2 linked regions of the Daphnia pulex genome follow. The protein of the gene in region 2 interacts with the protein of the main gene of each other region in a pairwise test. Links are inferred from orthologs where the notes say so. Each region holds a gene or a part of one and is shown on either strand. Other genes may lie near its edges.

Region 1 (3,280 bases), on a different chromosome or scaffold from region 2:
TGAACGGGAAGCGCCAATCTGCAATCTACAAATGAAACACAAATTAACATCAAATTCAATTAAATAAGTGTGAAATTTTACCTCGTTAGATGAACAACGTCCCCAACAAGAAGTGACGGTGACGACATCCCAGCAGGAGCGTCCCTCGGAATCCTCTTGATAGACTTTGAAAGTGTACGGACGCCGGAAGCAGGTCGGAGTAGCATCCATCTGCTCCTTGGACTGAGAGTCTGGCTGCTCGAACATGGCCGAATTGAGACGGAAGCTGTTGGCCATCAAAACGGCCAAGAGAAAGATCCTTTGGAATAGGTAAGTATTAGCCATGGTGCAACACCGCAAAACGGGAAACAGAACAATCGACAAGAACTTGCGGGATGCGTCTGGCCAAGGATCGACAAATCCTTCGAACTCGACTTTTTTCCCACCTACGACTTTCGGTCTGCGTACTACACCGGCGCGGTTGCGCATAGCTTTTTTTCTTTTAAACCACATAGAAGCGATCAGCTTCATCTTTTTATTGGTTGAGAAAAAAGCCTTTGATACATTCACTTGACAAATAGTTATCACAGAAAAATTACAAGAAAATAAAGTTAAGCATGGAGAAAGGCTTTTTTAAAAAAGGCAATCAAAATATACTACCAGAACCAGAAGGAAGGAATATTGAAAAAAAAAGACTAGGAATTAGTGAATGTGTGATTATTTTTTGGGAGCTTTGTAGTTCTCGGTACGGTGATGTTTAAGATCGGCGTCTTTGTGGATTTCTTTCCAGCAACGACGGCAGTAGAGATCCCCGTCGCAGTCAAAGCATCGCAAATGAGCATCTCCGTTGCAGAGCTCACACCAGGGCAATTCTTCTTGGCCAGCAGCTACTCCTTCATCGCATATTCCTTCGTCTTCCAATTCCAAACGGTCTTCATCCAAGACTCGATTGATAATCCTGGCCGCTTGTTTGTCTTCGTCTTCAGAGTCTTCGTCACTCGATTTGTCTTCCTTAGCTTCTGGTTTTTTAGTTCCCCTATCGAATCGGAGTTTGTTCAATCTAAACACAAAAATTGGATAAGTAAAAAATGATTGAGTTGTATTAGAATTCAAAAAACCTTTCTTGGATTTCTCTATCTTTCTTCAGGCCTTCCAAAGCCAATTGAGCATCAGCCTGTATTGCCTGGGCTTCATTTTGCAACAACATCTCAACATCATCTGTCTGCTAACATGAAAAATTGTTAGAAAGTCTCAAAATAAATCTGATAAATTTACAGAAATAATAGTTTTACCTCTTCTGATTGATTGGATGGAGTTGCAGAAGGAAGGTCTGATTGCCTGTCAATTGCAACTTCTTCTCTGATCTGGTTGATAAGATCTGTTGCATCATCGACATTGTTTGTTTTTGGTTTGACATAAATGGCTGCTGGTTTCCGGTAAACTTCAGGATCAATGCCCTTCAGTTTAGCTAAGCGTTCTTCAATCTCTGACTGGCTGGGGATGTCTCCCTTCATCTCCCGAATCTCACTCTTGAGCTTGGATAGACGATTTACAAGCTGTTGATCTTCAAAAGATAACCCTTTTTTCAGGTTGGTCATTCGGCTGTCTTCGGTGTAAACTACAATTGGACTTTTGTTGGGGTTCTCCAGTTTTTCCAACTTCCTAAGGAACAAGTTCTGGTCAATAAAGAAACATTAAATGATATTCTTATTTGAATCATACTGTTCCAAGACAACAGGAGGAATTTGAGTGACTTGATTTTGGTGGGGGGTTTCTACTTTTCCATTTTTCCTGTACAACAAACAAAAATATTAAAAGCTGTATGATGATTCAACAAAAGTCTTCGTTGTTTCATCATACTCTTGCGAAACAACGGGTGGTGGTACAGCTGACTGTTTGACAAAGCAGCTCTTACAGATTTTCTTGACAAGACATTTCGAGCAGAACGAAAATCCGCATTTTTCACAGCCATACTGAAATAATCAAAGTTTATTGATTAGAGAGTTAATCTAAGCACATACTTTTTTTCGCTTACTTCTTTTGTTAAAAACCCAAAGCTACGAGCACAGCCATGGCACGACATTGTTGTTGACAAACGTTTGATTAGTTTTTTAGTTATTTACCGTGACACCGATGCCAACTTTGACTATTATTCTCTCATGCAGTCATGCTAAAACGGGATATTTCAAAATAATTTAACAAAATGAAAATTCAACATTTTGTTTTAAAAATAAAAGAAAGGAGTTTGTTTGGAAATTCTGGATTCATTTTTATTCGTTGAATTTTTGTCTAGTAAATATGTGAGTTTTACCGTTAGATAAGTGCGTTAAGGTAACTAATTTATGATTGATAGACCCCTACAATCCGTTTCAGGTGAACTAGTGTGATTGATGAGTCAGTACATTTTTCAAGCAAACATTTCTTGTAGATTTTATTCAAGACTTGAACAATTATAGTAATAATATCCTATACTAAGAAAAATGTAATATCAATATCATGAAAACGACTTTATTTTTTCCAACAAGCAACAAAGCTTCAGTGATAAATATTCAATTTGTCATTCATTTTAGATTTTATAGATTTTAGATTTCGGTGCCGGGAAGGATCCCATATTAATGATTTTCAGCATGGCAAATTCATAGGCCCCTGCTTGTGATGGAACACAACAAGAGACCAGAGTTCCTATGCCTCCTAACGTAGTGTCCAAGGTTTGGCCTCCTGCAGCAAAACTAACAAAGAACAGATTGGAGCATTTATAATACCAAATAATCGATAACAGCAAATTTAGACATACCACGGAGCTCCGAGGGCATTACAACCTTACTAGCAAATGCCATAATGGTCCCAGTTAAGATCAATTACAAATCCAAAATGTTTCAATTTCCTTAAAACGAAATCTATAACAAAAGGGGAACAACGTGTAATATTGTAAAGAGCGGTACTTGTAGGGTTTCACGCCGCTGTGACAAAATTGGGTGTAGTTTGGCAGAGCTGCATCAACCAAAAACAAAATATCCAAACATTCAGACAGTCAAAGCCATTTATACAGGACTCGTTCAACGTCGCATAATCGACGTTGTATACGTATTCTGTACGTAATAATTGTTTATCATTTATGTTGATCAACTTCTCGCTAACTTTTTCCAGGTGTTCCTCAAGGATTCACCCGAAACGGTTCTTTGCCAATTAGCAATTTATTCAGAATTAATTAAAAATAAATATCACGAAAACACTGTATTTTCTCCCCAAAAGGCTTCATCAGTGTTACATTGACATTTATTTGATATCTTAAAGATATCTT
Region 2 (5,388 bases):
CATATTAAATTTTTTTTTTCCTCTCTCAGTTTGCTGGTTGACACTATTAAGTTAGCTCTAAGTCATTGGAAAAGTAAAGTGGTTGTTGATAATTGTGGCTCTACCTCCATATCGTGGAGAATTGATGGTTTCTCATTTTCCGTCCATTTAGTACTGGACTTGATTGCCTTGTGTCGTCGCTTATTAAACTCAAGTTAGTAAATCATGTTATCTACTGTTTCAAAATTTTTAAAAAGCTAATATTTTGTTTAATAGATGATTTCCCAGTGCTGCAGACCGCCATTCTTGCAGAATTGGCGCGTGACGAGTGTAAGTCTCCTCTATTTCAAGTAGCAAGGGAATTGATTCCCAATAATCCGATAGTTTTTGTGCGGATTTGCGCTTTGTTATTGTCGGAAAATTATCACATCCAATCCGAAAATATTGCTTCTTTTGGTGGACTTAACGGAAGTATTGCGCAAGAAGGACTTTTTCTATTGCTCTCCGGTGTGGTGGTACGCTCGAAAAACTTTCTTAAATTGTAAATTATCTTCCGACTCAGATGACTATTATCTACTTTTAGCCTAAAGAAGAAAAAAAAATCTTGAAGTTCGTTAGCTTGTATGCAGACCAAATCTTAAATCACTTCAATGAAACACCTGTGAAGAAGTTTTTTGGAAGCCTTATTCATAATGATGAGAAATACGTTCAACCACTTGTGAAGTGTGTGCTGGCGAAAGGCCAAGATTTATTGGTAAAATATCATACTGATCAGCGGATTAAGTGACTATTTATAAATTTTGTTTTTCTCACAAATTAGCAGATATCCTCGGCCATGGCTCTTTTGAATATAATAGAGAATGTCGAGCTTGTTGCGAATTCGGAAGCGATTCTTTTACATATCATTTCCAGTTTTCAGACAATTTCCAGTGGCATTGTGCACAGAAGAATGTGCAAACTTGTTCTAAACGCAAATTTCACTTCTTCTGAATCTAAGCTTCGTTGTTTGGAAAATGTACAAAAAATCGTTCTTCAGTCAGCTAATCAAAGGTTCTTGGCACTCGCCCACCTACTATCCTACGTTTTATGACATCTTCAATTTTCTTTTTTAGATGGTATTCCGAGATCACAGCAGTTCCAAGCGCTACCTTTGAAAATAGGTCTAGCATGTTGCGAGATATCGACAAGGCGTTTGTGCTGGATTTTGCGTTGAAAAGGTGGTTTAAAAATTATTTTCTGGTTTTATCTTGCTAAATCGTCTTCATAATTTAGGGAGTTAGAACCTTTAATGTGGAGAGAAATCGTCGCTCAGACAAACACAGACGACTTTCCGTTATTGTGCAGCAATCATAGTTTCCTTTTATATGTCCTTGGAAGTCGAATATTGAAATATGATGCTTTTTACCATGCCAAGGCATACCTTTTAAATATGATTACCGCCGAAGCCTTCGACAACTCTAAGGTACGCCGATTTCGGATGCTATTAATTTTTTGAACGGTTTTATCTTTTTATGAAATGAGCATCTCATTTTTTTCCATTAGATCCTGTCAATCGCTCATATTCTCAGTGCATTGTGCAAATCCATCTCACCATCGGAGGTCAACGATATTTTCACTGCATCCGAAATCACCATATTGGCTAAAACACCGCTTACCTTAATTGGTGCGATGGATTCGCTTTCCCATTCGTTAGTTCTTCTACAGGCGTCCTCTGAGATTGTTTCCATATTTGGGCGTGAACTTGCAATTGAATGGACAGACAAAGAGAATCTACCGGCTGTTTACAAGGCAATCCATTGTTTGGAGTCTCTTTGCATTCGGATAAGAAACAATGCAACTCTAGAACAACCTACTATTACCGGTAAATATCCTAAATTGTCTTCTTTAGTTGAAGATTTGATAACGAACGAATTTTCATTTAGGCCTGGAGCAAATGATTTGTCCTGATCCAAACTTTGTTTCGAGTGCGAAACAATTAAACCGAATACTTAGATTTATCGAACAAGAATCAAACATTCCAGGAATACTTCATCAAGACTTACTGTAAATTGTATTTCTGAATATTGATAAATCAATTCATTAAGATTTTTCTACTATTTTCAGGTCGACTGTTACTGTGTTTTGTCGAATGCCACTCTTCTATTCCTATATTTGCATTCCGCCATCCGCTTGGAGCAAAGGCTGGAATCCTGAGCTAAATTTGGATGTCGAACATATCACATTGGATCTACCAATAATCCCTTCACATTTTCTGCATGATGAAGTTGTTTTAAAAGAATTCGTTTTCCGGTAATTTTGGGACATTTTCTTATAAATGGATCTTGGATCATGCTGACTGCTTACTTATTCTTAAAGAATCGAGCAAATTAGCTGGATTACCAAAAAGAAATTTGAAGAAATTTGGATGACTTTTCTTGGCATTTTGAACTTACACAATGAGGATCAAGTGAGACCCGAAGAACAAGCAAGCGTCATCCAGGTATCATAACAGAGTTGGTAATTTTTTCTTACAATTTTTGAAAAACCATTTGAATTCAAAGGCTACATGTGAAGCCGTGCGAGCTCTTACAATGGTGCTTCAAAAAAATCTACCATTTAAGACGCCAAGATCTGTGAAAAATAATGAACTAGACAAGCCTCCTGAGTTCACGTCAACTGAGTAAAGCCAATGTGTTATTTAATCTCGCTTAATTATAGCTAATTGTCAATATTTTTAATGGATATTGTAGAAGGGGCAAGAAGCTGAAAGAACTCTGCAATTTGCTAGAAGAAGATTACACGATATCATCTTCCTGCAGTTATTGGCTCAATCGTCACTCCTTCAGACACATTCAATATAATATTGATCAAGGTTCACCATCCAAAAAGAAGGCTACTAGTCCCGAAGATGTTACAGATATAGATATCCAATCCTGTGTTCGCTTCTTAGTGGATCTCTACTCACAGTGGCTTCAGAATTCGGTAACCTTAATCTTCTATGTAGAAAATAATGATATTTTTCTTCAACATTTTCTTTTTTTTTCTCAAGAATACGCCGTACCCGCTGCTAGTGGACTTGTTTCAATCCCTAGTGCACATATCAAACTTCTTTGTCGATGTTCAACAGTTTGAGTGGATGCTGGATAACTCCTTAACCTTACACAGGCAACTTCTTCCTGATGATCCTGCGAGCTTAGAGTCCGCTTTAGTAGGGTGCATCTTGAAATCTGCTTCTTTTATACCCATGGTACAAAATTCATCTGAAATCTGAAGTTTTGTGATAATGTATTGTTATTTTTTCATGTCTCAGAATATGGAATACTGGGAATTAGTAAAAAAGCACTGTGAAACCGCATTGAATTCCCAGCATATTTCCACGCGAACTAGTGGATTAAATGGTCTTTTGTATCTACTTCAAAAGTTTGCCAGAAATCCAGATCTTGCTCGTACAGGCACTCTCGTCAACCTGGCTATGGATTATGTCGGTAAATGTCTCAGGTTGGTGTGATTCATCTCTTTACGTTTAAAGAAATTTGTCTGTTTATTTATTTGAAATATCATATTAAGCCCTGAACACAATGGTCCGACCTGGCATCAGTCCTTCGTTTGGTCAATAGCGTTCTATTGCGGCGAACATTTTGCAGTATTGCCCTATCAGAATTATGCTGTCGTCGATTTTGTTGTTCAGTGCGCTCTTAGTAGGCTTGTGCAAAACGAACAACAATCAAACGAGATCCCAAAAGAAATTTTACAGGTATTTCGTGAATTTATTGAAGATCTTATGTTGTAGGCTAATCTCGTTATTGATTCGTTATAGGGATTAGAACGGCTGAGCATTCTAGGCGTATTGACTCCGATTTGGCGAACGCAAGTTAAAAAAGAGGTTCTCAATTTAATACGCAATGTTGATTGTGATTGGATTCTACAGCCAGCACTACGAACTCTGCTGTCATTAGTCTATTCAGGTATAGGGTTTCATGCTGACTCTGTTTTTTCACTCCTCTCAAACCAATATTTACTTTTTCAAGATTTTGGTAGCCAATTGTATAAACCTGGAGCAGATCCTGAAACGATGCTCGCCGCTATGGAATGGGTGGGCGCCCTGTTCCAACGGTAAAGCTGAATAAGATGATTCTTGTTTACTTAGTTATTAATTTGTATCTGTTTCTTAATTTTCCATTTCCTCAGAATGAAGCGCGGAACAGATCTAGAGGCGGAGCTTTTGGGGCGAATTATGCCCGTCATAACCTGTGATATTTTCCCACCAGCAGACATCTTGAATCGTATTTTAAGTGAATTTATAACGGCAAGACCCACAGTTGCCTGTTGTTTAACTCCAACCATTTTCAAAGTAAGTCGTGGAACGTAGAATTTGTGTGGCATTGTCAACTGCCAAGATGTTTACTCTCTGGTTAATTCATTCAGGTTTTTGGAACGGCACGTACTCAAGGACAACAAAGTTTAGTCATGGAGTGGATTCTCTTAAGCCTCAGCAATTTTACCAGGACGCCTAGCGACACAGCGAATGATTCGATCTGGAATATTTTATGTTTTTTCACCGCAGCCTCCAACAACCCATGGTTGCAGTCAGTGTAAGTCATTCATCGTTCGTCTTAAATCTTTCACAGTTTCGGCATTCGAAAAATTTACTATGCTATTGCTGCTGATTCTTTTAGGTTTCCTCTCATAAACCGCCCGGTAAATCATAACGATTCTTTAGTGGAAGACGTATTTGTTGCATCTGCGCTGGATTTCAACTCTCAGGTATTTGACGAGCAAGAATAATTTAAATCTAATTTTAAATGATTCATCTATAGTTGCCTACTTTTTTTGTATATTTTCAGCTTGATGATCAACAGCGATCCACATTAGTTTCTATCTTTTATTCTGCGAGAGAAAAAAGTTCATTTTTTGCCGCTGTTGATGTTGCCCTAAAACGCTTGTGATTCCCATCGGGGATGCTAATATTGAGTCTCGTGTTTTCAAAACACGCATAAAATATGAACGAATGAATCACCCGATTAAATTGCATAGTTACTTAGATGTATCCTCCTGTCCTTAAAAGTTACGCTATATTCTAATATTCTATATTGTTGCAATGAAATTTTCAGTTCCTATATTCATCTAAATTTAATGTTTTCCCCTTTATAGATGGTATAAAAATTATCATTTGTGTTACTGCTCCTCCTATTCATTATCTTCATCCTTCGAGATGATATGCCATGCTGGCAAGTGGCAACCTGGCATCCCATTGGGTTGGGTTGCGAGGTTCTCTCAAGAAATAGGAAATAATCCAACAATATAATTAACAAATACAGAGAACAAGAAGGGAAAAGATATGAATTCTAAATACTCTTCTTCCTCTCCTCTTCCAATTCGCCGAGTTCGAGCTGTGTTGTGTCATCGTGAATCAATCAACTTTTTTAAATT

Evidence for each region. The genes of interacting proteins can lie anywhere in the genome.
Region 1: the proteins of huntingtin-like (region 2) and abscission/NoCut checkpoint regulator-like interact in binary tests that used the Homo sapiens proteins (3 or more experiments, as listed by UniProt). The link is inferred for Daphnia pulex from reciprocal best matches to the Homo sapiens genes HTT and ZFYVE19.

Annotation. Positions count from the first base shown.
Region 1 is NC_060026.1:13,058,967-13,062,246, forward strand, and holds abscission/NoCut checkpoint regulator-like, read right to left. Parts: upstream 2,099-3,280; 5' UTR 2,063-2,098; coding exon 2,015-2,062; intron 1,953-2,014; coding exon 1,840-1,952; intron 1,771-1,839; coding exon 1,702-1,770; intron 1,642-1,701; coding exon 1,272-1,641; intron 1,205-1,271; coding exon 1,098-1,204; intron 1,040-1,097; coding exon 697-1,039; 3' UTR 511-696; downstream 1-510. Other genes in the region: uncharacterized protein LOC124204257, read right to left, coding at 1-25, 82-510. UniProt on the Homo sapiens protein: Key regulator of abscission step in cytokinesis: part of the cytokinesis checkpoint, a process required to delay abscission to prevent both premature resolution of intercellular chromosome bridges and accumulation of DNA damage.
Region 2 is NC_060020.1:1,046,335-1,051,722, forward strand, and holds the end of huntingtin-like, read left to right. Parts: intron 1-29; coding exon 30-193; intron 194-255; coding exon 256-494; intron 495-562; coding exon 563-733; intron 734-799; coding exon 800-1,029; intron 1,030-1,091; coding exon 1,092-1,196; intron 1,197-1,251; coding exon 1,252-1,441; intron 1,442-1,521; coding exon 1,522-1,840; intron 1,841-1,901; coding exon 1,902-2,022; intron 2,023-2,082; coding exon 2,083-2,268; intron 2,269-2,334; coding exon 2,335-2,458; intron 2,459-2,519; coding exon 2,520-2,638; intron 2,639-2,708; coding exon 2,709-2,940; intron 2,941-3,007; coding exon 3,008-3,205; intron 3,206-3,268; coding exon 3,269-3,456; intron 3,457-3,525; coding exon 3,526-3,712; intron 3,713-3,775; coding exon 3,776-3,923; intron 3,924-3,986; coding exon 3,987-4,071; intron 4,072-4,146; coding exon 4,147-4,309; intron 4,310-4,383; coding exon 4,384-4,550; intron 4,551-4,634; coding exon 4,635-4,722; and 4 more.